7 linked regions of the Ovis aries genome follow. The protein of the gene in region 6 purifies or fractionates together with the protein of the main gene of each other region. This does not show direct contact. Links are inferred from orthologs where the notes say so. Each region holds a gene or a part of one and is shown on either strand. Other genes may lie near its edges.

Region 1 (4,203 bases), on a different chromosome or scaffold from region 6:
GACGGCCCGCTCCAGCCGCCGCCATCTTGAGGGCTTGCGCCTGCGCAGGTGGAGCGCGCGGCCGAGGGGAGGGGCGCGTGCGCGAGTCGGCTCCCTGCTGGGAGCGCGCACCCTCTAAAGTACCGGCGACCTTGCGCCTGCGCCCTCCCGCTGCGTTCACGTGTCCCCGTTTTGTTCCCGCGGCGCGGAGCCTAAAGGTTTGAAATCGTTCGAGGGCTGGTCCACCGAGCTGGGTTCTGAATCTTGAGGATCCTTGAGCAGGAAATCAGGACCCAGCTTTGCGTTGACAAAGCCCCACCGCCTATTTCGGCGCAGAGGCTCAACCAGTCCACCCTTCTTGGCTCTATTTTGCAGCTTAGGAATTTGAGGATCAGAACGGTTTAGTAACTTGCCCTAGGTTGCCCAGAGGGGCCCAGTTGGGATTCTGACTTGAACAGTCCTGAGTTAGAATCCCATTTCTGCTCCTAACTGGCTGTGTGCTGCTAAGTGAAACATAGTGTCATTGTAAACCTCGATCTTTTTTGTACTAATTCAAGGACAGTTCTTCATCCATTGAGCAAATCTTGTGTTGAGTATCTACTTTTTGTCAGGGTGCTTTGGGAAAACAACCCAAGACGACACAATTAAGCTTGCTACTGAGGGAGCAAGGCAATAAATAGACCCACCAAGGCTTTTCTACCACTAAAGTGAGAAGCTTAACTAAAGGAAAGAATACTTTGCTCTGATTTTAAAAATTGTATATGTTTATGTCTCTATTAAAAAGCAAACTGGCACAGATTAAATCACAAGATATAGCAATGAAGAGATTCTAAGTAAATATTTATTAATGTAATTTATTGATACTGGTTTGCAGAATATGATCCTATAAAATCAAAACTCACGTGTATTTAAGTGCTAGGCGCCAGGCATTAGATAAAGAGAAGGAATCTCTGGGAAATGAGTTATTCTCATGAATGGTGCAATCGATCCTTCCCTGAGGACTTAAGACTTTTTTGCGCGTTTGAGGCTCAGTTGCTGGGGAGACTGACTCACGCGCCAGGTCAGACTAGGTGGTAAGATATTTATTCCAAGAATCATTTTTGACCTTCTCAAGATGGCGCCAAACCCTTAACTACAACCATCACGCTCACTCAGTGGCTGCCTCTATGGCTTCCACTTCCTGCCTAAGGACCCAACTGCTGTCCGACGTTGTGCCGAAACGCATGCCCTGTTGGTGAGCTTTTTTATTCGAACAAGAGCTACTGAAAGTATATAAAATAACATGAATCTCGTGTATTTCGAGATTTCCATGTCATCCGAGGCGCATAGTTTCTCTTCAGGTGGCAGACGGGCGGGATTTTGACCAGGCGCGCGCCGCGGGCAGCTCCAACTACTGCGGGTCTTTGGCGGCCAAGTGAGGACCCGGGAGTCTCTGGAAGTCCAAGATGGCGACGGCGGCCGCAGCATCGGCTTCTGAAGCGGAGGCTGAGCCCAAGGCCGGGCCCGAGGCCGAAGGAGAGGAGGATGAGGCTAAGGCGGCTCGGGCGAGGAGGAAGGTGTTATCGCGGGCCGTGGCCGCCGCGACGTACAAGACCATGGGGCCAGAGTGGGACCAGCAGGAGGAAGGCGTGAGTGAGAGCGATGGAGATGAGGAGTACGCCATGGCTTCCTCAGCCGAGAGCTCCCCTGGGGAGTACGAGTGGGGGTACGACGAAGAGGAGAAGAATCAGCTGGAGATAGAGCGGCTGGAGGAGCAGGTGGGCGCGGGCGTGGGCGGCGGCGGCGGGCTCTCTCCCTCGGGTTCCCAGGCCCCGGCCCACCTCCGTGGTCCTCGGAAGTAATATAAAGCGCCAAAGCCTCCAAATCGCAGTGTCCCAGCGCGTCTCCGGTCCTCGGAGCGCTTACTGCTCGCCAGGTGCTTCGCAAGTGTTATCCTATTGAACCCTCGCCAGAACCCGGCGAGGGAATTGCTGTATTTCCCGTTTTGTGGGAGGACCCTGAGGCTCCCGGTGGAGGGAATTCTCTTGTCACCATTACACTTAGTGCAAGTGGCGAGTCAGGCTTTGAACTTTGAATCGACTCCGCAACTCCCGCTCTTAGCCATACGGGTCAACTGTGTCCAGGCCTAGAAATAAGATTATTTTCCTCCAAGAAGAGTAGTTTGCTTGTAGGAATGACGAAGATAAGGAGCTCTGGCGTGGTAGGGAAAATAGTGACCGTGACGGTGATAATAGAAACGGAATAGCGTCTGGAGGCTAAGGCCCCAGTTCTAGCTCTTCCACACCCGTGTGTGCTGGGGCCAATATTATAACGTCTCTCATCCTCCACTCTGTAAACTGGGACAAACGGTTCCCGCCCAGAGAATTGTCCTAACGGTAATCAGGGCTCGGGGCCTGGCAATAGTAGCTATGTGATTTCTAATCTGTAACTTTAGAAGGTACAGGTGTTGGTGTCTCCTATGTAATCTAGGATCCCAGCAGGAAGTAGGTGGCACATTCAAGTTAGGAGAGTTTGGAATAAAGGTCCATAAAGAGACTGGGCCTCCCAGGTGGCTCAGTGGTGAAGAATCCGCCTGACAGTGCAGGAGAGATGGATCCAATCCTTGGGTCAGGAGGATCCTCTGGAGAAGGAAATGGCAACCCACTCCAGGATTCTTGGCTGAGCAATCCCATGGACAGAGGAGCCCGCCAGACTACTGTCCGTGGGGTCACAAAGAGTCGGACAAGACTGGGCACAGCACAGCAATGGAGAGACTGTTGAGTCTGGGGCAGGGAAGTCAGGAGCAAAGGTTTGGTTTCCCAGGGCTAGTAGTAGCAGGACCTTTAGGTGTCCACTTTAGTCCTGTAGAGGTGATGGAGTGACTGGTTTTCTAGATAGTTTGTGGAGAGGATCCCTGAGAGGAGTTGAGATGTTTGTTCCAGGGAGGTAGCCCCCGTTTCCCATCAGGAAGGAGGGTGGGCAAGAAGTACCCTGACCTACTTCAGTGCCTCGCTTCCACATGGCCTGTTGGGCAAATCCTGCTGGAACCCCGAGACCCAGAGACCCCATGGATGTGGTCCACATGGTGGGTCTCAGGACAGGGAGGGGAGAGAGTGGAGTAGTCTTGGAGGGGAAGAGATGGAGCTCCCATCTCATTTTACGGACGAGGACACAGAGTCTCAAAAGGACTGATGAAGTGTTTTGGTCAGAGTCAGGCCTAAGGGCATTTGAACTTTTCCAGGTTGTCTGTAGACCGAATGCCACAGTGGGTGTGAAATCAGTTAGTGATGTGGGGTTGGTAGCCTGGGTTTCTCAGTTAACTTGGCTGGGTGTGAGATTCCTTATAATGTCCTCTCTGGTGGTGACGTTCCTGCTAAGTTGTGAAATAGTTGTATCTTCTTTCGGTATATCTGTCTCATTTGTCATCCCGTCTGAACCAGCCAGGGGTAGGCCGGTGGTTACCCTTCCTGCCTTCTATAAACAAGCCTGCCGCAGTCCATTCATTCTCTTACTCATTTGGCAGTTGCAGTGTAATGTCAGGTGGCAGGCCGCCTGTGACCCTGTCCTGGTGGCAGTCTGTCTCTCTGGCCTTTGGCCTTTCAGTGAGCCCTTATCTTGCTTAGTTGGGGAAATAGAATTACCTGTTGAGGGGAAGGGGAGGCTCGGAAGCAGAGCGATTAAACCCTCAGTGAGGGTATTTTGCTTACTAAAGTGGAGGACGGGTCTGGGCAGAGGTGTCCTGGCCACTGGTGGTGTGTACTTGCCAACCCTACCTCAGGCCACCGCACAGGATGGGATCCGGCAGGTGATGGTGAACTGAAGAGCCTTTGGCTTTATCTTCTTCCTGGGGTCCAGAAATGGACTTTTCCAGTTTTCCCAAAACTCCCTCCCATGTCCTCTTAATCCCGGCCTCTAGTTCTTGCTGTAACGACTCTCCTGGTGGAGTGTGATGGTCAGTAACTTCCAGAGAGGCCCGCGAAGTGCTCGGCCTTGTCGTGTTTGAATTCCACTTCTGACCCCAAGTGTTTTTATGAAAGCTCACAGTCAGCTGTGAAATCTGTCCAGATAACAGAAGCGGAGATGTCCCGCTGTGTGTGTGGTCGTGGCTGAAACTAGGAGCGGCACCTCGTGGTCCCTTCCCGTGATTGGGCCGAGTGTGGTCCCACCAGGCGCCTCTGTCACCTCTCCGTGCAGGTCGTGCTGTCAGGGCGAGAGGAAACCTGTTGCAGAGCACTTGCACGATGG
Region 2 (4,248 bases), on a different chromosome or scaffold from region 6:
TCTGTGGAAATACTTTATTGCTTTTGAAGAAGAGACAACTTCATTTACCTGATGTCTGTTGTATATGTTATGTATAAATACTAGGAGGTGCTGAACTAGAATCTGAGGGTAATTTTGAGTTGGAAAAACAATATAATTTCCCCAACCACCTTTTTCCACTTTGATAATAGGTGGATTATAGAAACAGGTAAGCAGCATAAATATTCTGTTCTCTAAGCCCAGGTTTTAACCTGAGCCATCTAGTTAGCTTTAACTCTGGTGTGATCCCAGAGGCCCACCATGAATAACAAACACACTCCTATCACTGGTTAAACTCAAAGGATTAGAGATGACCTCCTAGGAACCATGGACAAAGTCCAGCCTAATTCTTTATGTTGTTGTTCAGTTGCTTAGTCATGTCCCACTCTTTGTGACCCCATGAACTGCAGTTAAAAGTCTTAATTTAAAAGTATAGAAATAGTGGAAAACCATTTATCACAGTCCCATTTTCAATTCTAGCTGTTACTGAATATTTTCATACATATGTACTTATCAGCTGCTTGCTAGTGCAGGAAGTAAGAGAAATGGGTTCCATCCCTGGGAAGATCCCTTGAAGGAGGACACGGCAGCCCACTGCAGTATTCTTGCCTGGAGAATCCCATGAACAGAGGAGCCTGGCGGGCTAAGGTCCACAGGGTCACAAAAAATTGGATACAACTAAAGTGACTTAGCATGCAAGCACATACTTACAATGAGGGCAGTTTTTTGGCTGGTGATTTATTTATGCTTGTCTTGTTAGCCAGCAAACTGTGTAATTTACTGTATCTCTTATTCTCAGGATCAGATTTACAGCCAGATAGAGTCTTACTTATAGGTAGGAATATGTTGAGTATTTTTCTAGAATTCCCTGATAACTAAAGGATGGTAGATTTACATAGTCTGAGAGCCTAAGTAGCTTGGAGGTTCTTTGTTTCAGTTAGTAACTTCCAGTCAGCATAAATAACTATCTTAAAATGTCTCATTGGAAATGCCTTAACCAATACCCTACCTCCTTAGGGGTTAAAGAGTTGTTTCCAGATTAGAAATGGTTATTATACTCTTGGTTCTTTTATAGGGCATTTTAAACCAAAAGAGCTCTTTCTTTTTTCCTTTAAGTTCCTTGGTAATATCACCAAAGAGGGTAAGTATCCCTCAGTTCTTGTACATTCCTATGTGCAGAGAGCCTCCTCTTTTATAATTTGTTCATAATGTAGTGGTATGCTCTGAACCTTGGAGTATTAAATTTAAGGGTCTTTTCATGCTTGCATTGTTAACTATATAGGGAAATGTCTTTTCATTTATGTGTTCTGTGCTCTTGTCGTAGGTGTCACGTGTACCTGAGGCGATCTCAGCAGCAGCAAGTACCTGTGGTGGATTTCCAGGCAGAACTGAGACAGGCATTCTTAGCTGAGACACCAAGAGGTGGTTAAAGCAGTATTGGAACACCAAGGTAGCTGATTTCAAGAGAAAAATAAAAACAGGTTATAGCTGATGAAATCATGATCAGGATTAAACAACTAATTAAAGGGTAGGATGTTTGGAGGTCATTTAATTATTTGGGATATATTCAATTTCTTTTCCTTAAAAGCATCATACAAATATAAACACATAGCAGAAAATTTTAAAAAGTAAAAGCAGTACCTTAATGCTCTCACCCTGAAAGACTTTTGTCATGAGTTACTTTCTAGACAATGTAGTCTTTGCTTTTTAGGTAGTTTTATTCATATTTAACTTGTACTGCTTTTCACCTTAACGTAAGAGAAGTATTTCATTATAAATAGTTGCTGAATATCCTCCTAATATGTTTTAGAATTCCTTTCTGTGAGAACTTTATCTTTTCTGCTGATAGTTTGAAATGAAGTTTCAGTGATTTGCTTTTTGCAAAACAGATAGGACCATTTCCTTGGATATGCAGATGTGAAAATAAATCAAGGAATTTGAAATTAAGGTTCATGTTCTAAATTATATTATGAATTATTAGTCTTCAGTTGCCATGAGAAAGTATAGTGCCAGGTACACTTTCATCTGCATTAATTTTGTCAATTACATATAATTTATTTCTATTAAATTAGAAATACACATCACATCCATTAGCAGATGAGAAGCTAAATATTTTCCCAGGCTTATTTACTACTTATTTCTTGTTTTCTTTCCTCATGTTTTGTTACCCATTTGTTTGAGTCATCTGACAATGTAACAAAACTATTATTAACTTATGATTTGTCAGTATTATGTAGATTTATTTACAGTGTCTTTTTGTGTTAATTGCTTAGATTTTTAGAAAATTGCAATTAATTTTGATTAAATACTCTATTTTTCCTTTCTTAAGTTTAAGATTTGAATGACCTAAGTTCAAAGGGTTTAGTATGTACTTTTCAGAAACTAAGGAAAGAAGTTTATAGATGAGTTTTCTTCTAGATTTTCTTTATTTCTATTTCAGAGTATAACCCTGCAACTCAAATTAATTAGGCTTATGGCCATCATTTCAAACGGAAAAATCCTCCCCTACTGAATACTTTACCCAGCATTCTCCAGTAATTGCCTGGACTTGATTGCAAGACAGTAGAATTGATTTCAGGCAGTGGAATCTGATAATTGTCCTCAGCTGTCCCCCAGAGTAAGAACGTTTTTACATGAATAAGTGTGCATAATTGATTTTTTAACCAAGAATTTTTTGGCCCTTTAGTATAGTTTAGATACTCTTGCAAGTTCCTGTATAGTATTATTTAAATCATAATTATGATCTACAAGTAGAGTAATCTAATTTTCTAAGTTTTAAGTGCTAGTTTCATCTAAATAGTACTAGTTACTAGAATTATTTTACAGCAAGATTGATAAAGTATCTGACTCATTTATTGCCTGTTTTTATAAATAAAATTTTGTTAGCACAGAGCCATATCCATTTATTTACATAAGGCCTGTGGATATTATTGACAGTACAGTGGCAGGTGGGAGCATTCATGACAGATTGAATGCCAGGCAAGACCTACAATATTTATTGTCTTTCCTTTTAAAAGAAAAAGTCTGCTAGTCTCTTAGAGAACCACTTTCAAAGATGAAAACATAAGGTGGAGCCAGTAGGGGAGTGTTGGTGCTATAGAATGTGGTAAAGGGAAAGGTATTACAAGGAGAGTAGATGAAGTAAACATTACAGAGTAGAGAATCAGATGAATTTGGTGACAAGGGTCTTGTTAAAGTCTGCTGTACGTGTAAATGGGTAAAGACATTTAAACAATTGATATGTTTTCTTTTTCATTATAAAAATGTAAAGCATATGAGTGATAGCCAAGAAAAATGGGAAAGTAAACCACAGATTTTAAATAGCCATGTTTCAACCATAGTGGCATTTTTTTTCTTTCATTTTACCCATTTGCTTTTCTTTTGAAAACATAGTTGTAATCATGTTTTTAAACTATTCTATTTATGTATATCATTAATGTTCCTTCATTTTATTACATAATCCTCAATATGATTTGTAATGAATAAATGATGGTCCCTTCATGATTTACTTTTTCTTTGTACTTGTGTTTCTTTCCCCCTAGTTTGCTATGCTGTTACGAATATTCTGCATTTTTAAGATAGTGTATATTAGGTATTTTAAATTTATTAGGATGAGGATTCAGTTTGGGTATGCAACGTATAAAAATTAGTAATTTATAAAATGTTTTGTTATGTTGCTTTCTAATAACACAATAAGCAGTATTGATTACCATCAAGAATAATTCAGTTCAGTTGCTCAGTCACGTCTTGATACTTTGCGACCCCGTGGATTGCAGCACACTAGGCTTACCTGTCCGTCACTAACTTCCGGAGTCCACTCAAACTCATGATTATTAGAGTCAGTAATGCCATCCAGCCATCTCATCCTCTGTCGTCCCCGTCTCCTCCTGCCTTCAATCTTTCCCAGCATCAGGGTCTTTTCTAATAAGTCAGTTCTTCGCATCAGGTGGCCAAAGTATTGGAGTTTCAGCTTCAGTGTCAGTCCTTCCACTGAATATTCAGGACTGATTTCCTTTAGGATTGACTGGTGGATCTCCTTGCAGTCCAAGGGACTCTCAAGAGTCTTTTCCAACACCACAGTTCAAAAGTTCAAGAATAATTACTACAGTGATAATTTCTTAGTACCACCTTTGATGTCTCTTTTTTCCCCTTTGATAAACACTTTCCAAAATGGAAAAATTGTTTTCCTCTGGTTTAAGTGGCATTGCTTTGTGGATTAATAGTTTCCAC
Region 3 (4,093 bases), on a different chromosome or scaffold from region 6:
GTCCTCTAGGTATGCTTCTGCTTATCTCATCTTCTCAAGCCCTCCCCGATCTGCCCCCTAGGCTGCTGCTCAGTTGTGTCGCCAGGCTTCCCTGTCTTTTACCATCTCCCAGAGCTTGCTCACACTCATGTCCACTGAGTCAGTGATGCCATCCACCCATCTCATCCTCTGTCGTCCCCTTCTCCTCCTGCCTTCAATCTTTCCCAGCATCACGGTCTTTTCAAATGAGTCAGTTCTTCACATCAGGTGGCCAAAGTATTGGAGTTTCAGCTTCAGCACCAGTCCTTTTAATGAACATTCAGGACTGATTTCCTCCTAGGAATGTTTCCACTAATCTCATCTTCTAAGCTCCAGCAATTAACTTTTCAGTTCTACTTCCCTCTGGCAACCAAACCTTCTCATAAGGTGATCCCTGGGACCAGAAACACTTTGGTATTTAATGAATTATTTGATATTCATTGAAAAGAAAAATTCCGACTTTAATTTTTAACACACTTTTTAAAGATTATGCTCCATTTCCAATTTCTACAGTTATATTCCTCTTGTTGTAAAATATAAAATACATCCTTGTAGTCTACCTCACACCCAGTAGTTTGTACCTCGCACTCCCACCCTTACATTGCCCCCTCACCGCTCCCCACTGCTAACCATTAGTTTGTTCTCTAGCTCTGAGTCTACCTTTTGTTTCCACCAGTTGTATTCCTTAGGTTCCACATGTAAATAATATACATTTGTCTTTTTCTTTCTGACTGTTTCACTGAGTATGATAACCTCTAGGTCCATCCACATTGCTGTAAACGGCATTACTTCATACTTTTTTATAGCTAAATAGTATTCCATTGTCTATATATACCACCTATTCTTTATTCATTCATCTGTCCATGAACATTCAGTTTGCTACCATATCGTGGCAACTATAAGCAATGCTCCTATGAACAAACTGAGTGCTCATATCTTTCCAAATGAGTGTCTTTGTTTTATATACCTAGGTGTGGAATTGCTGGGTCATATAGTAATTCAATTTTTAGCTTTTTGAGAAACCTCTATTTGGTTTTCCACAATGACTGCACCAATATACACTACCACCAACACTGTCCAAGGGTTCTCTTGAAAAGGGAAATTTCTGAATGCCTTACTTAAAAAGACCTCAGAAAACAATGTGGGATATACACAGATGGGGGCTTCCCAGGTGGCCCTAGTGGTAAAGAAACCACCTGTTTACTACTGCAGAAGACGCAATAGACACAGGAACAACCCCTGGGTCAGGAAAATTCTCCGCCTCCACCCTCCCCGTAAGAAATAGCACCCCTCTCCAGTATTGGCAACCCACTCCAGTACTCTTGCCTGGAAAATCCCATGGACGGAGGAGCCTCGTAGGCTGCAGTCCACGGGGTCGCACAGACTCGGACACGACTGAAGCGACTTAGCAGCCAGTATTCTAGCCTGGAAATTTTTATGGGCAGAGGAGCCTGCCAGGCTACAGTCTATGGGGCCGCAAAGAGTGGAACACGACTGAGCACACAGAGATGAGACAGTACCACAGTAATACACACACAAGGAAACTACTAGGATGCACTAAAACAGATTTTAAAAAATTTTAACTCAGTACGGACTGGATGCTTAGGAAACACACTGAATATGGGCACCAAAGACACCTTTTTTCAAGTGAGGACAACCTTAAGAAAGAAACATACAGCCAGCAACACATTTAAATGGTAGTTGCGCCCAAAAACAAATTTTTTACTTCCTAAGTGGAAAGAACTTCAAAACTCTACAGCTTTGTCTGCTACAAAATGAGTAGGTTTTCTGACCAAAACACTTAAAGGGGAAAAAAACCCCACTAAATCTTTTAAATATGAGAAAAACGAATACACATTAGCACTTTGAGTAACTTAAAACCCCAGTATTTTATAAAAGATTTTTCAGAACATTAGATCTGTAAGTCTACTTGCCTACAAACTAAACTGACATCGTTCCTTCCTCTGAAATACTGTAAAACTCTTAACAGTAACTACTTTTTGAACATATAAGTGCCCAATATTGTGCTAGGCATAGAAATCAAATTCAAGAGGTATCATCCCATTTTATAAACCAGTCTCCAACAAGCAGTAAGTGGAAGGAACGGATTTTAAGCCAAAGCTAGGGTATTAATTCTAAGCCACCCTTTTAATAAGACCCTCAGGTACTGAAATTTCTCAAAACTCTCTGTACACAGTAAGTTTAAGGCAGCCATCAACAGTGAAACCTCCACTAGACACTTTGGGCATAACAGAAAAGCAGAATCTCAAAGTCACCAGAACAGGAGATCACAACACACCGAAATGGGACTACTACTACTTTAAAATACAAAGCGGGAAGGAAACTCATTCCCACTAAGGCTGGTGGCACCGGTGAGCGAGCGGGAAATTAACTCCGCCTCGCTTCCCTCTCGCGAACACTTAAGTTTTGCCCATCGTAGGCTCTCCTAACTAGACACCCAGTCCCTGCCCACCCTCCTCCCTTCTTGTCTAACAGACCTTGAAGACTGGAAGCAGAGCAGGGCGGGACCGACTTCAAGGCCGAAAGGCCTAGGCCGCAAGGATACACGTTAAGACGTTGGCCCATGTCCTGGAGCAGATTGGCCGCCTGCTGGCGATTAGAAAGTTCTTTATCTGGATCTAAGCCAAAACGACGAGACGGGCTATTTTCCAGTTGTTCTCGAGTAAAATACCACCGTTTATTGTTGTTCTTCCTCTCTCCCTCCATAGTGCTTCAACCAGAAGGCAGCGGCGGCGGCTGCAAGCACTTCTCGGCGTCACCTAAGCGGCGACACACATCCGCTGTGCGGGGGCAACTGCGACGTGACGAACTTCCGCAAAGGCCGGACGGCTAGGTTGTGACACGCTTCCGGGGAGGAAGTAAAGGATCTACTTCCGGAATGGACCCCTGGTCAGCCTGCAGCCGAGTTAACAGCCAGTAGGCGATCAGAAAAACCTTGGTTCTAGGACGCAGGCGCCAGTCATGTGACCCTGGAAAGGCAAGGTGGGGTTAGGAGTTCTCGTTAAAAAAAAAAAAAGTCTCCTCTCGCGAGAACTATTTTGAGCCTTCGCGCCCTGACCGAGGGGGCGAGGCAAAGGCTGTGGGTGGGTGAGGCTCCCGCCCTCGCGCCGCGTGGCGGTTTCTCGGAGAATTTCGCTTGTGACGGAGGTGGCTGTACAAAATGAGGCAGATAGAGAACTTGACAGAGAAAATGGGTAAGAGTATCAAAAACTGAAAAAAGTAATCAAAGCGAGTAGCCCTATCGTATATCGTAACATAAAGCCACCGGAAGCTCTTGAATTCGTTGGTAGCAGTATAAATTACCCACTTGAAAAGCTTCAACGCGTAGCTAAATCCTCGAAGACACTAATGATTCGCCACGCTGAACCAATTTAAAGGAATAAAATAAATTAATAATTTCATTTTATTAATAATTTAGTGCTTACCACATCGCTGACTCTTATTCAATCGGAACAACCCGGAAAAGTGGTACTATCTTAACCCCATTGTATGACCGGATGAACTAAAACTGCTCCTTCCGTGTGGAAAACTTCCACTACCATCCTGCGCATGCAGATTTTTAAATTCCTGTCCACTGTCAAGCTATATCCCCGCTCCAAGCTTGAGGGCTGTTTGTTCCTAGGCAAGATACTTAACTTCCCTGTACCTGTTATAAATGGTATGCTGCTGCTGCTAAGTCGCTTCAGTCGTGTCCGACTCTGTGCGACCCCATAGACCGCAGCCCACCAGGCTCCGCCGTCCCTGGGATTCTCCAGGCAAGAACACTGGAGTGGGTTGCCATTTCCTTCTCCAATGCATGAGTGAAAAGTGAAAGTGAAGTCGCTCAGTCGTGTCCGACTCTTTGTGACCCCATGCACTGCAGCCTACCAGGCTCCTCCATCCATGGAATTTTCCAGGCAAGAGTACTGGAGTGGAGTGCCATTGCCTTCTCCTAAATGGTATGCAGTACATACGATTTAGGTTCTGAAAAGGATTAAGTGATTTGATAAGTTACAAACAGTTGTAGTAGTACTGGGCACATAGAAAACATTCAGTAGGTTTCCTCATAATATTT
Region 4 (3,500 bases), on a different chromosome or scaffold from region 6:
AGGGAGACCTGGCTTGCTGCAGTCCATGGGGTCCCAAAGAGTTGGGCACGACTGAGCGACTGAAGTGAACTGTCAACTGAAGCCTTATTTTGTAAGAAAGCCTCTGACTTTCCAGCATAAGATACGTTCCTTCAATATGAACTTCAGAAAACTGTGTATTTTCCTTCATGTAATTTTTTAAAAACCACATTCACTTGTCTGATTGATTAATGTTTTTCTTTGCTACCCAATTGCAAAGTACCAAGTCTGTTATTAATACTTTAACATTCAAAGTCTTAGCAAAGTTTTTGGTACAAGGTAGGTGCTCAGTAAATGATTTGTTGAATGTTGATGGATAAATACATCATTCTTTCAACATACAAAATTCTGAACACATGATATGAACTAAGCAATAGGTAAAAATAATGGGGTTTAAAAAAAGTTTCTTTTATGTTCCTCACAGAAGTTTGCCTGATGGATTATAAAAAGCTTAAAAAGCTTGAGAGCCTATTTAGTACTAATTTATTTTAATTATGCCCCAAACCCTCTAAAATAGCACTTGGGGATATAGGAGGTTAATGGATTTTAGCTCTTCACAAGGGGCACTCTTGCTGAAATCACATTTATTCTAATTAGGGTTTTATATAAATTCCTACCCCAGACTCCATTAGTTTGCTCTAATTCTATAGTTATACACTTTCCATTTTTATTTATCATTGGAAGGATTATTACCTATTTAAAAATGTCATTCAGCTTTCTGAGGGGATTAGAATGTTAGAATGCAAGTCTTCTGGTCTTAAGAATTGAGAAACTTGATTTTTTTGGCAGAGGGCAGGTCTTTCACCTTTATTACCCTGATGACACCTGATCTTTGGACAGCTGAAGGGAGATGTCCTTTTTCTTTTCACTTTTAAATGAAATTGAAGTACGAAGAGAGGGGCTGTTATGTGAGACCCAAGGGCCTGGGATCTGCTCTGAGTTGGGTTTTTTTTTTCCTACAGAGCTGGAAGTGCTACTTAAATTTCCTTAATATCCTTATTTGAGTGACTATCTTTCCAGAATGACTAGCAGGGTCTACATAATTGTGGATTCTGAGAGGGGCTTGAGTACCTTTTACCAGTCCTTCCCTTACCACCTCTCACATCCCCCAGAGATGTTTGCCCAGTAGCATCAGGGCCAGGATGTTGTTAGTAAACATGACAATAAATGTAGCATCACTGTGACTGTCAAAAGATCGTAAATGTTCCAGCCATCAGTCACTGTCGTGTCTTTTACTCTCCTGTTCTGAGTACTTAATGAGGAAGCAGTAAGAGGACCCTCGCTTTCCTCTGAGTTAGGCATTACTCTGGCCTCTAGTTCTTCCTGCCAAATCCTTCTAAGGCTAGACTGGCACCAAAATGTGGTCCTGGAAAGTGGGCTGACTACTGTGAGCCTCTGAGAAAAACACCGGCTTTTCTTCTCTTGAATATACTCTTTAGGATCTCATTGGCCAAGATCAGTGAGTGGCAATTATTTGTGGTTAGTATATGCTTGTCCAATCTATGGTTAGAGGTTCTACATGCAAGTTTAGGACCAAACCCTAATTGTCAGAGATATTTGCCTGGAGCATTTGCTTTTGAAGGTCTCCTTTGAAACTGTGGTGGGACCAGTTTATGACTGATGTTTTGGACCTGGATCAAATGTTTTTCCATGCTTCCACATCTGAGAAATAAATCCTTTTTACTTCTGGTTTCCTTCAAGTAACAACTTACAGATAGATATGTGGGAAATTGGGTGATTTAATATTATAAAAATCTTATACTCTCTGTATTTTTTCCTGCTTCTGTAGAGTGGGATATGTACGTTGATCTTTGTAAGATATTCCTGTGCTGTTTTAACAAATTACGTTGATTTCTTTCAAGAAAATTAAGTTTCATAAGAAATTTAAAATGAAGACTTTTTATAAATTGTTTTGACAGTTTTCAGTTAGTCAGTCTTGTATTTCTTGATCACCAGCCATACTTCATTTTACATACAGCATACAATGAGTGCGGGAAGGTTTCTCTCCTTTAGGAAATTTGAAACTAATTATGATGTAAGACTAACATACATGAAACCAGTAGCTGCAATGTGTGCATAATCAGTACCAGCTTGTTGTTTTAAGCTGTTAAGGCTGTAAGGATTCTAAGAAAAGAAGAATGGTGTTTTTGCTGATTGGTCTCACCTTCTGCTCAGGTGTGTGCAATGTGTTTTGAATTCTTATTTCACTAGGTACTGGGGCATCCTGCATCTATCCTTTACTTGGAACAACCTTAAACGGCTGGTATTTCCTTGCAACAGAAGTAGATGATATGTGCTTCAACTACGCAAAGAAGAATGTGGAGCAGAATAACTTATCTGATCTTATAAAAGGTTAGCTCTGCACAATCAATATTCCTTTCAAGTTTTGTTTGTTAACCTGTTTTTCTAATTTAACACATCCCATTATCTTTTGCTTTAACATACAAGCTTTGGTAATTTTTAAAAATTTGGTACAGTTGTAATTGGGTTTGCTGCTTTCTTATCAGAATCAACTCAGAAATAGAGTGAACGCAGCTGACCCTCATACTTTGTAGGTTCTGTGTTGTGACTTTGCCTCCTTGCTAAAGTTTGCTTACCTGTGTCTATTTTTAGCCCCCAAATCAATACTTGTGGTACTTTTGTGGTCATTCACAGACATGTGCAAAATGGGAAAAAATTGGAATCACCCGGTGTGTGTGTTCCCTGCTGTCTTTTCTTTTTCTTTTCCCTGCTGTCTCCTTTCAGCTCACACACTGTAAACAAGTGTTCTTTTCATGGTCTGCTTACTACCACTTTTGTTGTTGTTGCAATTCTGTGCTTTTTCTTGGTGATTTTGCTGTTTTTAATGGCCCCTAAACATAGTACTTGAGTACTAGTGTTCCTAAGTACAAGAAGGCTGTGATGTGCCTAACAGAAAATACGTGTGTCAGATAAATTTTCTTCAGACATATTATAGTCCTTTGGCCATGAGTTCAGTGTTGAGTCAGTAATGCATGTTAAATAAGGTGTCTTTAAACAGAGATACATAAAATAGGATATGTATTGATTGGGTGATGAAAATGTGATCAGAGGCTTGAAGCTACCTAACCTTGTATTTCTCTTAGGAGTCAGTGGTTCAGTAGGCACTAATTCAGTGTTTGTGGTGACTTTACTGCTAATGAGAACGAACTGTATATGAAGTAACCTAGTTACCAAGACTTTAAAAGGAAGAAAATCCTGCTGTTGATTAAACTGTACCATCTTTTTAATTTCAGTACATGGAACTGTGCTACAGATAGTCAAATCTCCTTTGTGCTAAGTCAGTCAGTCATTTCCAACTCTGCGACCCCACCAACTAGTCTGCCAGGCTCCATAGGATTATCCTGACCAAAATATTGGAGTGGGTTGCCATTTCCTCCCTCAGGAGATCTTCCGACCCAGGGGTCGAACCCTTGTCTCCTGTGTTTGCTGTATTGCAGGCAGATTCTTAACCACTGAGCCAC
Region 5 (4,031 bases), on a different chromosome or scaffold from region 6:
CCCCATTTCAACTCTAAAATTACCCTTCTCACTACTGCCCTTAAGTTTCAGATAAAATGTTCCTAATTTAACCCGGCCTTCCTGTATAACCCAGCGTCTTCATTCTGGTCCTACATAACTACTTTAGTTGCATTTCCCCCAGACCCCCATCTCTTCCCTCTATGCCTTTGCATAAACCTCCATGTGCTTGAAGTCGGCTCTCTACCTTCTTCCCACGGCCACTCCCAAAACGCTTTGTGCGTTAGCAGCGCTGGGGTGTTTGGTATGTCGCATTTTGAATTTGTGCCTTCATCCCTAGACTGAGTTTAAGAAGGCTGCAACTGGCGAACTTGTCCATCCCCGGGAGAGAGCAGACGCTTTATAAAGAACGAAGGTGCAGGGCTTCATCTACTTCGTGTGGCAGCCTCAATTATGGCCGTTGTAAGAATAACATGCCTAGCTTGCTCAATAAACGTGAGTTGAAATTAAATCTTTTTTTGTGGCCAATACAAAAAGATGTGAATACTTAACAAGACAGTCCTCCTGTGCTTGGAAGGCAGGTCCCCATGGAGTACACCCCCGCCCTCCGCCCTCAATATTTTTAACAGGGGCTTCCTAATAGCTAGCGTGATCCCCCCCGCAGAGTGACTGGTTCGCCGTAAACCGACGCTCTTTGAATGGAGACGTTTAAGTATGTTCCAGAAACTCCCGGCTGTGCCGCGAGTACACGGCCATTGTAGAAAAGACGGCTCTATCTGCAGTAATGGTCTGAGGTCACAGGGACCATATTTGGAGCAGGGCGGGAGGGAGGCCTTCTCCACATGCAGCTATGGTGTCGTCGGGCCCCGTTCCAAGCCCCCAGGTCAGGCCGGGTAATCCCGGCGCAGGCATCTGGCCGTACCTTTCCTTCGGCCAGGACACAACCCTGGACCTGGAGCCGGCCCACCCCGGCTGCAGCCTCGTGAAAGTCACGTCCCCTCTTGCCCGTCCTCTCCGGTTCTCTATGGTTCTCGTGGTGACTCTACTCTAATTCTAGTTCCGGTCTCTATGGCGGCAGCAGAGGCAGGAACGGTTGTAGGTCGGCCGAATTAGCCGCCTAAAGGCCAATGAGAGTGGAGGAGTGAAAGACTATTAGCCAATAGAAACTAGGAGTTGTGGTCAGGTGGTGAGATTGACAACACTATTGACCAGTGAACGATGCTTAGGGCGGGTCGCTCGCAGGGCTTATCCCGCCCGTCCCGCCATTCTCGCTAGTTCGATCGGTAGCGGGAGCGGAGAGCGGACCCCAGAGAGCCCTGAGCAGCCCCACCGCCGCCGCCGGCCTAGTTACCATCACACCCCGGGAGGAGCCGCAGCTGCCGCAGCCGGCCCCAGTCACCATCACCGCAACTATGAGCAGCGAGGCCGAGACCCAGCAGCCGCCCGCCGCCCCCCCCGCCGCCCCCGCCCTCAGCGCTGCCGACACCAAGCCCGGCACGACGGGCAGCGGCGCAGGGAGCGGCGGCCCGGGCGGCCTCACATCGGCGGCGCCTGCCGGCGGGGACAAGAAGGTCATCGGTGAGAGCCGGACGTGGACGGGGGTGGGGCAAGTAGGGAAGTCTGGCGGCGGAACCGTTACCCGAAGCGGGGCGAGCCGGCGGGCGCGCGGCCGGCGGGGACCGTCTCGGCGGCGCGCGGCCGCCCCTCCCCCAGGCCCCCCCACTCGCGCCCTCGCGGACGCTGGCCCGCCCGGTCCGCGTGCCCGGCAAGCGCGCGCGCGCGCCGCCTCCCGCGCCCCCTGCGGACCCCGCGCGGCCGCGCGCCCCTCCCCCTGTGCGGCCGCGCGCCGCCGACCGCGTGTGCGGCGGGGTCCCTCCCCTCCGTGCCCGCCGGCCGCGTGCGCCCGGGCCCGCACGCCGTTGTTCCGTCCCCCACCCGCTCCCTTCCGCGTGTACCCTGAGGGCGCGGCGCGCCGCCTACGCAGGCCGGAGTGGGCCGGGCGGCTTCCCCCTTCTCACGTGCTCGCCGCCGCCCGCGGTCCCCGCGCACACCCAGCTCGGGCCCGCGCCCCGGGCCTGACCCGGGGCCTCTGCTGCGGTGGGTTCACCCACGTGGACCGTGCGGATGGCCGGCAGGCCCTGGGGAAAAAGGCTGTCAGGTGGCCATGGGTCTTTGCCAGGGAATGCGTGAGCCACCGGATGCTGAAGCGTGGCGGTTTTGAAAAAGGACGTCTAGTAATTGTGGGTTTTTTTTTCCTCTCTCCTTCAGCAACGAAGGTTTTGGGAACAGTAAAATGGTTCAATGTAAGAAACGGATATGGTTTCATCAACAGGTGAGATGACCGCCGCTGAAGCCCTGTCCTGCCTCTTGATTGCTCTCCTCCATCTGTAGGCTTTAGGAACTTGGGGTTGTTGGCGCTTGTGTAGGTTGCCATCCCTGGTGTAGGGCTAGTGGGGTTTTGTTTTCCTTGGTGACCGAAAGGATTAGGAGACGTAGAGATTGTCTTTGTTTTGTAGCTAAATGTTGATCTCTAGCTAACTTGAAAGATACAAAGCGATTTAAAAGGCAGGCGGAGTGAGTGAGCCATCTCTTACCAGGGCGAACTGAGAAAAAGCTAAGATCTGGTGTGATTTTGTTAGGCTTAGACACCTCGCATTTTTATCCGTCATTCTTTTCTATGTTACTGAAATTGGTATTTGAAATTGTGAGCCGCTGTTTACTATGTAGGTTATTTACAACTTTTTAACCTTTGGAGGTAACGTGCTTTGACAATGCAAGTATGTCATTTTGACTAAGGTCTTATTGCCTTATTCCTCCTACTTCCTTGTCCCCCCAAATCGTACCTGTTAAATCTTTGGTTGTAGCTTACAGTGACCTTAGTCCACGATTACATTCGTCTTTGTATTTGAAGGCAGAGCTGCAAACTGCATCTTAAGGATTAACCCTTTGAGTTGTTTGTAGCAGTGGGATGGTGACGGCAGTTCGCTCACAGTGCTCTTCGTGGTCCCTGTCAGCCGGGCATCTTTTCCAAGATGGCTGCCCGGGCTGGTGGTGCAGCTACAGGGTGTAGAGCAGTGTGCGTGCTGACAGCAGTGTTGGCCTTACAGGTGTGATGCGGTCATCGCAGCGTTGTATTTCTTAACACCCCTATTACGCTGGATGTTTGAAAGAACTTCAAGAGTAAGAAGTAATACCGAATGTTTCTGAAATGGACTCTACTGAGGGAAACCAAGTGGGCAAGATCAAGCCTAGACACACAATTGGCTGGCAAAAACCCACTAGTTACTCAAACGCTCAGAAAGCAAAAGAGATTGTAAGCATTTGACGGTCTGTTTTCCACGTTTGCAGTTGAGGAAACATTTTGTTTCTTCCAAAATCTTTAGGAATTTTCCATCTGTTCTTACACTGCCTTGGGACAGGCCAAGGCCACATTTTCTCATCAGTTTTTTGATAATGGGTTACTAGTGAGGAAGGCAGGGACTGCTTTGATGCCAGTGTTTGACCACTTTTTAGGTGATCTCTGAATTTGTTAGTATTTCAGTCTTACTCTGATTTTACTTTGGCCTCACCCTTAAACCAGTGGTTTTCGAATTTGTGTGCTTACCTTGAAAGGATAAAAGTACACATTCCTGAGTTCTTTCTTAGCTTAGATTCATTGGGTCTGAAGTACATTTTTAAGGAGAATTCCAGGTGATAATAGCCTGTAAGCCTTAGTTTGAGAAACACTGCTTTTGACCTTTGACCCAGTGTGGCGATAGGCTATCACAGGTGTGCCTATTAGGAGTGATCTATAATTTGCAGCCTTTTAAGTAATTTGTGTGTGTGTTTTAAAGATTGTGGTATATATGTGCCTTCTGTTCTGCTGCATTTGTTAAATGGATCTAGATTATATTTGTAGGTGAACAATTGATAATCCAAGATAAAAGCAGTTCTTCGGGTTCTAAGTTTATTCTGTGAGATAACCATTCCTTTATCCATCTAACTTGTAATCAACTCTTTTGATCATCAGATAGGGCAAGTTAAATGTAAGTTGGCTTTTAATGATCCTTTGTTTGGATTGTCTTAACCACAGT
Region 6 (4,241 bases):
AGGTGCAAGCGGAAAAACACCAACTACCTTCTGGTGCGTAGAGGCTCTAAGGGTGAGGAGCAGACAGAGTTACTGCAGCGACTCCACCAGCCGCGCGAACCTCCAACCAGTTTTCCCGCCAACAAGGATAGGCGCGAGGCCACTCGCAAGCTCCACCTCCTCCGGCGGCGTGCTCGCAGGGCTAATGCGCATGCGCAATTGGAGGCCGTTTCTGCCTTTGCGCAGCAGTCATCGCCGCCATCTTCCAACCGAATACCCTATAAAACTACAAATCCCATAATCCCCGTTGGCCTCGCTTTTTTTTTTTTAGGTGGCAGCCGTAGCGCCTGATGTTTCAAGACGCACATCTTCCTTTTACTGACTTCTTTCTCTGCCCCAGACTGCCTTTTCCGTCCTCTTTTCGTGCCCTCATTCGCATTCTTCTTAGTATCCTTCATCCCCTTATTTTGTTATTTTATTTGAGATCTATCCTTAACCCCATTCTCGCCTCTTCCACCCTTTTCTCAGCCACAGGACCCGCACCCCAAGCGCTGTTGGCAAGGAAATCAAGCCACCAAACAAACACCCAGTGGAAAGGCTGTCCAGTAGCTTCCTCCCCATAGGCTAAGGCAGGGAGCCCCCAAAGCGGACCGAAATCTCTTCCTCGCCCACATTCGTTTTTATATAAGGCGGCTCGGAGCCGCAGCGTGTGCTCGGGAAAGCCTGTGTACGGAGTGGGGGGCGGGGGGGGCGGCGGTGCTGGGTGTACTGCTATTGGCAGCTGTAGTGGGCGTCGGATAGCTTGTCTCCGGGCTGGGGGGGCTCGTGCGCTGGCGTCGGGTGGTGGGCGGAGGCATTGGTGCGGGAGGTGGGTGTGGAGGCGGAGAGGGCGTGGTGTCCCCAGGTGATCGCGATCGGGGAGCGAGAGAACGACTCGGCTGTTTAGGGGGAAGAGGAAGTTAAGACAACATCGCCTGTTTTAGTGCTTTTTTTTTCTTTTTCCAGTTCAGCAGAGACTGTTTTCCAGGGGGGGATGAGTTAAAATGATCTATCGTGTTATACTGAGAACAGTTCGTAGGAAGACGGTCAGTATGCTCCGCTCCTTCCCCTCCTCTCCTTTTTAGGTGCACCCCTCCGCTCCCTCGGAAGCCTTTCTAAATAGGTGGGCACCGGGGCGGGGGGGGGGGGGGGCAACTGGGTCATGAATAATTCATACGGACCGCCCCGCCCATTAGCCACGGCCCTCCGAATCGTGCTGACGCATGTTGCGTGTTCCAAACCCTAGGAAGTAACGTAACAGTCCCCGCCCCTAGCACGGAGGGCGGGGCGTCATCTCCAGCACGTGCTGCATCTACCCGCGCAAGCCCAAAAGGGTGTGCGCAGGCGCTGCTCGCTAGGGGGAGGAAGGAGGCGGGGTGGGGAGGTTGCTGGGTTTAGAGCCGGGCGGAGACCGCTGAGACTCATTCCTCAGGAACAAGGGTCGGGTGTCAAGGAGACCTTTTCACACCAGCTCCCCGTCCCCCGCCTACGGTGGGTGGGATCGCGCGGCAGAGACAAAAGGATATCAGTAGGGACGGACATAGCTGCGAAGGGAAGTAGGGTGTCAGTTTGGGGTGGTGGGCTTCTGCGGGTGGGGGGCGGGCTGAGAAGGGCTGTATTTAAACTCCCGGAGCCGTTAAGTTGGTTCGTACTCCGATGCGCGCGCAATCAGGGTGGTGGCGGAGTGCGCATGCGTGATTCCAGGGAGAGAGGAACGCGCCCCAGCCGTGCGCGCTCGCGCCGGAGCGGTAGTGGTAGAGGAGAAAGGGGTCGGCGCACGCGCGGTTGAGTCCTCGAGTTGTTCGGGTCTCGCGGGCATCTTGTTTTGGTCTCGCGGGCGAGTGGGGCGAGCTTTCCGGGGAGGTGCTTGGGCGCGAGACCAGGGGAGACGAGCAGCACTGCGCGCGCACTCGGGGAAGGAGGCGGGGGGAAGGGAGCGTGGTCTAGGAAGGGGGGTTAAGCCCCCGGTGCCCCCCTGGTTGCCCTCGACTGGAACGGAATAAGGGGAGGAAATGATCGAGATGGCGGCGGAGAAGGAGCCGTTTCTGGTGCCGGCCCCACCGCCGCCGCTCAAAGATGAGTCGGGCGGAGGGGGCGGCCCCACGGTGCAACCGCACCGAGAGGCCGCCTCCGGGGAGCTCCGCGGCGGGACGCAGCGTGCGCCGGGCCCGCGCGCTCACTCGGCGGGATCCCCGGCCTCTATGGCCGGCAAGGAGAGCCCCGGGGCTGCATCCACCCCTCGAGGCGGTCAGTCGCAGCAGCAGCAACGAGGGGGCGGCCCCCAGGCGCAGTCACTCGGGGAGGCCTGCTTGTCGGATCCGCACGGGCGAGCCGCTCCCCCGGACGTGGGGGAGGAGCGACGGGGAGGAGGCGGAACAGAACTGGGCCCCCCTGCTCCTCCTCGACCCCGGAATGGCTATCAGCCCCACCGGCCCCCAGGGGGAGGTGGGGGCAAGAGGAGAAATAGCTGTCATGTAGGGGGAGGTGGTGGAGGCTTCAAACATCCGGCCTTCAAGAGACGCAGGCGGGTTAATTCGGACTGTGACTCTGTCTTACCCTCCAACTTCCTCCTCGGGGGCAATATCTTTGATCCCCTGAACCTGAATAGTCTCCTGGATGAGGAAGTGAGCCGTGCACTCAATGCGGAGACCCCTAAGTCATCCCCGCTTCCGGCCAAGGGGCGAGATCCAGTGGAGATCCTCATCCCCAAAGATATTACAGACCCTCTCAGTCTCAATACTTGCACTGATGAGGCCCAAGTTGTCCTTGCTTCGCCACTCAAGACTGGTCGGAAACGGCATAGACACCGGGGACAGCACCACCACCAGCAGCAGCAGGCAACGGGAGGGAATGATAGCCACTCCGCGCTGCCCACAGCCCCCCTCACTTCCTCACTCCACGGGGAGGGCACCACGCAGCAGCATGGGGGCCAGAACCGGGACGCCCCCCAACCCTATGAACTCAACACAGCCATCAACTGCAGGGATGAGGTCGTGTCTCCCCTTCCATCTGCCCTCCAGGGTCCCTCAGGCTCCCTTTCAGCCCCTCCAGCTGCCTCAGTTACCTCTGCACCCCCGTCTTCCTCCTCACGACATCGCAAACGACGCAGGACTTCCAGCAAGTCAGAGGCAGGAGCTCGGGGTGGAGGCCAGGGTTCCAAGGAAAAGGGCAGAGGGACTGGGGGAGGGCGCCACCACCTCCAGCCACTACCTGCCGCAACCTTCAAAAAGCAACAGTGCAAGTTCCAGTATGGGAATTATTGCAAGTACTATGGGTACCGCAATCCTTCCTGTGAGGATGGGCGCCTTCGGGTATTGAAGCCTGAGTGGTTTCGGGGTCGGGACGTCCTCGATCTGGGCTGCAATGTGGGCCACCTGACCCTGAGCATTGCCTGTAAGTGGGGCCCATCCCGCATGGTGGGCCTGGATATCGATGCCCAGCTCATCCACTCAGCCCGCCAGAACATCCGACACTACCTGTCTGAAGAACTGCGTCTGCCACCCCAGACTTCTGAGGGGAGCCCAGGAGCAGAGAGTGAGGAAGGGACCTCAGCCATCCGAAAAAGGAGCTACTTCCCAGCCTCGCTGACAGCCAGCCGTGGTCCCATCGCTGCACCCCAAGTGCCCTTGGATGGAGCCGACACAGCGGTCTTCCCCAACAACGTTGTCTTCGTCACGGTAAGAGGGTCCCCAGGCTCCTGGGAATAGGGGTCAGGCATGAAGATGAGAGTGAATGAGAACATGGCAGGGAGGGTTATGACCCAGAGGGTTCCTGTGCATGCACCCCTCCCTGGAGAAGCCAGGTGCTCAAGAGAATGGTCTGAATCTGCAATTGATTCCATTTTGGTGTATCTGCCCTCCTATAACCTGGAAAGGCAGGGGCTGTACCTGGAGTCCTTACTCATGACGAGCCCCAGGATAGGGGCAGGTTCCTTTTGCTCTGCTCCTGGGCAGTATTGTAATCTAGACCCATCCACTTTCCTTTGGGGGCTGCTGCTCATAATCACTGGGGGATGTGGTCCAGATGAAAACTTGTCCTCCGGCCTTCTGTAGGTGCCTGAAGGGATGGGTGTCCAACATTCAATGTCTTGGGATGGGGCGGAGGATTAGGGTAGTGGCTGGCTAATTATGTTCTGTCCGTTGATAGGGACCTCATTTGTGTCACACACAGAGTTGATTGTCAGTGGCCAGGAACCCAAGCGACTTCGCCTTAGATCATCACCA
Region 7 (2,380 bases), on a different chromosome or scaffold from region 6:
TTTGCAGCTGCATGTAGCCCGCCAGGCTCCTCTGTCTATGGGATTCTCCAGGCAAGAATACTGAAGTGGATAGCCATTCCTTTCTCCAGGGGATCTTCCCCACCCAGGGACTGAACCCGGGTTTCCTGCATTGGTGGGCAGGTTCTTTACCATCTGAGCCACCAGGGAAGCACCCATGACTTAGTACAGCAGGGATACTAAGGCAGACATGTGGACTCCTTTGTTGGACAACTTTGGCTCAAGGTCTTGCAGAAGTTTCCTTAGACTGCCTGGTAGTCTCAACTGCTTCCATACATCCTTTTCTCTTCTTTCCCTCCTTACCAGTCAGGCTTCACTCACAGCTCCTTCTCTATTTTCTTTTTTTTTAAATATAAATTTATTTATTTTAATTGGAGGTTAATTACTTTCATACAGTCATTTCTCCTAATAAAATCTTGCCGTGTTTAATCTTGTTTTGACAAGAGCTTCTTGGAGGTGTAGAATAACATAAGTAGAGTGGGTATTTGAGATTCAGGAAACAGTGTTTACTTCCTAGGCCTAGATCTGAGTCACATGACTTGGTAAGAAAACCCAAAGCTGTGAGACTTCAAGAAAACTTAATGTTTGGTAGCTGTATATGCATGACCAGGTTATCAGGAATAATAAAGTCAAAAGGGGTGAGGAGGAAGATGCTGGGGCACTGGCTGCAAGCCCTGTCGTTGCCTTCTGCCATCCAAAAGCTGGGGAAAGATCTCTGAGTGTCTTGGGGAAGCTAGTATTTTCATTCGGCACCATCTTACGTGGCTGGCTCTGGTTTGTCGGCCTGGCTCCAGATGTCATTCTTTTCCTCCATGATTACCAAGTGGTTGCTACATCATCACGTGAGAAAATACTGGGTAACGCAGTAGAGAATTTGGGATCCAGGCTTTACTTCTTTCCTAAAGATGATCTCATTTGGTCAAGGTCTGTCTTCCAACTTCCAAAAATCTCATTTTTCTTGGTTTCAGCTTTTCCACAAGTTCTTTGCTATGTCTTTTGTCTTTGTAAACATGAAATGTTTTATTTTCTTCACTCAATTAAAATGCGTTTTGTGGGGACTTCCCTGGTGGTCCAGTGGTTAAGAAAGACTTCACCTTCCATTGCAGGGAATATGGGTTAGATCCCTGGTCAGGGAGCTAAGATCCCACATGCCTTGTAGCCAAAAAAACATAAAACAGAAGCAATATTTTAACAAATAAAGACTTTAAAAACGGTCCACATTAAAAACAAAACTTAAGAGGGTTTGAAAGATGGCGGACGACGTGGACCAGCAACAAACCACCAACACTGTGGAAGAGCCCTTGGATCTCATCCGGCTCAGCCTGGACGAGCGCATCTACGTGAAGATGAGAAACGACAGAGAACTTCGAGGCCGGTTACACGCTTATGATCAACATTTAAATATGATATTGGGAGATGTGGAAGAAACTGTGACAACTATAGAAATTGATGAAGAAACATATGAAGAAATATATAAATCAACAAAACGGAATATTCCGATGCTCTTTGTGCGGGGAGACGGCGTTGTGCTGGTTGCCCCGCCATTGAGAGTTGGCTGAAACGAGAATCCGCCGCCTGTGGGAGACGGGCTGTGCTGTGCGGTGGCCTCTTTGAGTGTGGAAGATGTTCCAAAGAGAGACCGATGTGCATCTTGATGCTGAAAATAAGCAAGAATTCTTCCACTCCTGAAATAAGTTGATTTGTAGATAACTCACAAATACTTCAGCTAAACGGCATTTTTATTTTTCTCCAACCCTTCCAATAAATGTGATCGGCGCGATACAGAAAAAAAAAAATAAATAAAAAAATAAAAAATAAAAAAAATAAAAAAAAATAAAAAATAAAAACAAAACTTAAAAAAATATTCATATGTTTTCAGCTCTTCCTTTCTTTTGAATTCTTTTTTTTTTTTTTTTTGGTGGGGAGAAGTACAGTTGCTTTACAATGTTGTGTTAGTTTCTGCTGTACAACAAAGTGAATCAGCTATATAGCTCTCTTCTTTCCTTAATATTTATTTATTTGTTTGTTTGCCCTGGGTCTTAGCTATGGCACACAGGATCTTCAATTTTGTTGCGACATGTGGGTTCTTTTAGTTGTGACATGTAGGATCTAATTCCCTGAATGGGGATTGAACCCCAACCCCCTGCATTGGGAGCCATGTGTCTTAGCCACTGGACCACCCAAGAAGTCCCACAGCTCTCTTCTTGAAGAGGCAGGTGTGTGTTCTGAAAAGAATGGGAATGGAGATGGAATCTCGACTCTACCACTTCCTACATGTGAGACTTCGTGGAAGTTAATTTTATGAGCCTTGATTTTCTTGTTTATAAAATGTAGATAACACCACCTACCTCCCAGGATAGTT

Evidence for each region.
Region 1: the proteins of MEPCE (region 6) and SART3 purify together in Homo sapiens (affinity purification with mass spectrometry; 6 studies listed by BioGRID and IntAct, counting the BioPlex papers as one, with this or other methods). This does not show direct contact. The link is inferred for Ovis aries from reciprocal best matches to the Homo sapiens genes MEPCE and SART3.
Region 2: the proteins of MEPCE (region 6) and SNRPN purify together in Homo sapiens (affinity purification with mass spectrometry; 3 studies listed by BioGRID and IntAct, counting the BioPlex papers as one, with this or other methods). This does not show direct contact. The link is inferred for Ovis aries from reciprocal best matches to the Homo sapiens genes MEPCE and SNRPN.
Region 3: the proteins of MEPCE (region 6) and CCNT1 purify together in Homo sapiens (affinity purification with mass spectrometry; 3 studies listed by BioGRID and IntAct, with this or other methods). This does not show direct contact. The link is inferred for Ovis aries from reciprocal best matches to the Homo sapiens genes MEPCE and CCNT1.
Region 4: the proteins of MEPCE (region 6) and METTL16 purify together in Homo sapiens (affinity purification with mass spectrometry; 3 studies listed by BioGRID). This does not show direct contact. The link is inferred for Ovis aries from reciprocal best matches to the Homo sapiens genes MEPCE and METTL16.
Region 5: the proteins of MEPCE (region 6) and YBX1 purify together in Homo sapiens (affinity purification with mass spectrometry; 3 studies listed by BioGRID and IntAct, with this or other methods). This does not show direct contact. The link is inferred for Ovis aries from reciprocal best matches to the Homo sapiens genes MEPCE and YBX1.
Region 7: the proteins of MEPCE (region 6) and U6 snRNA-associated Sm-like protein LSm3 purify together in Homo sapiens (affinity purification with mass spectrometry; 3 studies listed by BioGRID and IntAct, with this or other methods). This does not show direct contact. The link is inferred for Ovis aries from reciprocal best matches to the Homo sapiens genes MEPCE and LSM3.

The regions. Positions count from the first base shown.
Region 1 is NC_056070.1:64,531,259-64,535,461, forward strand, and holds the start of SART3 (squamous cell carcinoma antigen recognized by T-cells 3), read left to right. Parts: upstream 1-1,403; 5' UTR 1,404-1,424; coding exon 1,425-1,736; intron 1,737-4,203. Other genes in the region: iron-sulfur cluster assembly enzyme ISCU, read right to left, coding at 1-25. UniProt on the Homo sapiens protein: U6 snRNP-binding protein that functions as a recycling factor of the splicing machinery. Promotes the initial reassembly of U4 and U6 snRNPs following their ejection from the spliceosome during its maturation.
Region 2 is NC_056071.1:1,222,484-1,226,731, forward strand, and holds the start of SNRPN (small nuclear ribonucleoprotein-associated protein N), read left to right. Parts: upstream 1-1,448; 5' UTR 1,449-1,468; exon of another isoform or gene 1,469-4,248. Other genes in the region: SNURF (SNRPN upstream reading frame protein), read left to right, coding at 1,343-1,448.
Region 3 is NC_056056.1:137,457,545-137,461,637, reverse strand, and holds the start of CCNT1 (cyclin-T1), read right to left. Parts: upstream 2,801-4,093; 5' UTR 2,746-2,800; coding exon 2,585-2,745; intron 1-2,584. UniProt on the Homo sapiens protein: Regulatory subunit of the cyclin-dependent kinase pair (CDK9/cyclin-T1) complex, also called positive transcription elongation factor B (P-TEFb), which facilitates the transition from abortive to productive elongation by phosphorylating the CTD (C-terminal domain) of the large subunit of RNA polymerase II (RNA Pol II).
Region 4 is NC_056064.1:23,304,368-23,307,867, reverse strand, and holds part of METTL16 (RNA N6-adenosine-methyltransferase METTL16), read left to right. Parts: intron 1-2,229; coding exon 2,230-2,370; intron 2,371-3,500. UniProt on the Homo sapiens protein: RNA N6-methyltransferase that methylates adenosine residues at the N(6) position of a subset of RNAs and is involved in S-adenosyl-L-methionine homeostasis by regulating expression of MAT2A transcripts.
Region 5 is NC_056054.1:17,183,077-17,187,107, forward strand, and holds the start of YBX1 (Y-box-binding protein 1), read left to right. Parts: upstream 1-1,231; 5' UTR 1,232-1,370; coding exon 1,371-1,536; intron 1,537-1,791; exon of another isoform or gene 1,792-2,082; coding exon of another isoform or gene 2,083-2,116; intron 2,117-2,226; coding exon 2,227-2,290; intron 2,291-4,031. UniProt on the Homo sapiens protein: DNA- and RNA-binding protein involved in various processes, such as translational repression, RNA stabilization, mRNA splicing, DNA repair and transcription regulation.
Region 6 is NC_056077.1:36,542,249-36,546,489, reverse strand, and holds the start of MEPCE (7SK snRNA methylphosphate capping enzyme), read left to right. Parts: upstream 1-1,441; 5' UTR 1,442-2,030; coding exon 2,031-3,695; intron 3,696-4,241. UniProt on the Homo sapiens protein: S-adenosyl-L-methionine-dependent methyltransferase that adds a methylphosphate cap at the 5'-end of 7SK snRNA (7SK RNA), leading to stabilize it.
Region 7 is NC_056080.1:116,710,702-116,713,081, forward strand, and holds U6 snRNA-associated Sm-like protein LSm3, read left to right. Parts: upstream 1-1,255; 5' UTR 1,256-1,268; coding exon 1,269-1,577; 3' UTR 1,578-1,880; downstream 1,881-2,380. UniProt on the Homo sapiens protein: Plays a role in pre-mRNA splicing as component of the U4/U6-U5 tri-snRNP complex that is involved in spliceosome assembly, and as component of the precatalytic spliceosome (spliceosome B complex).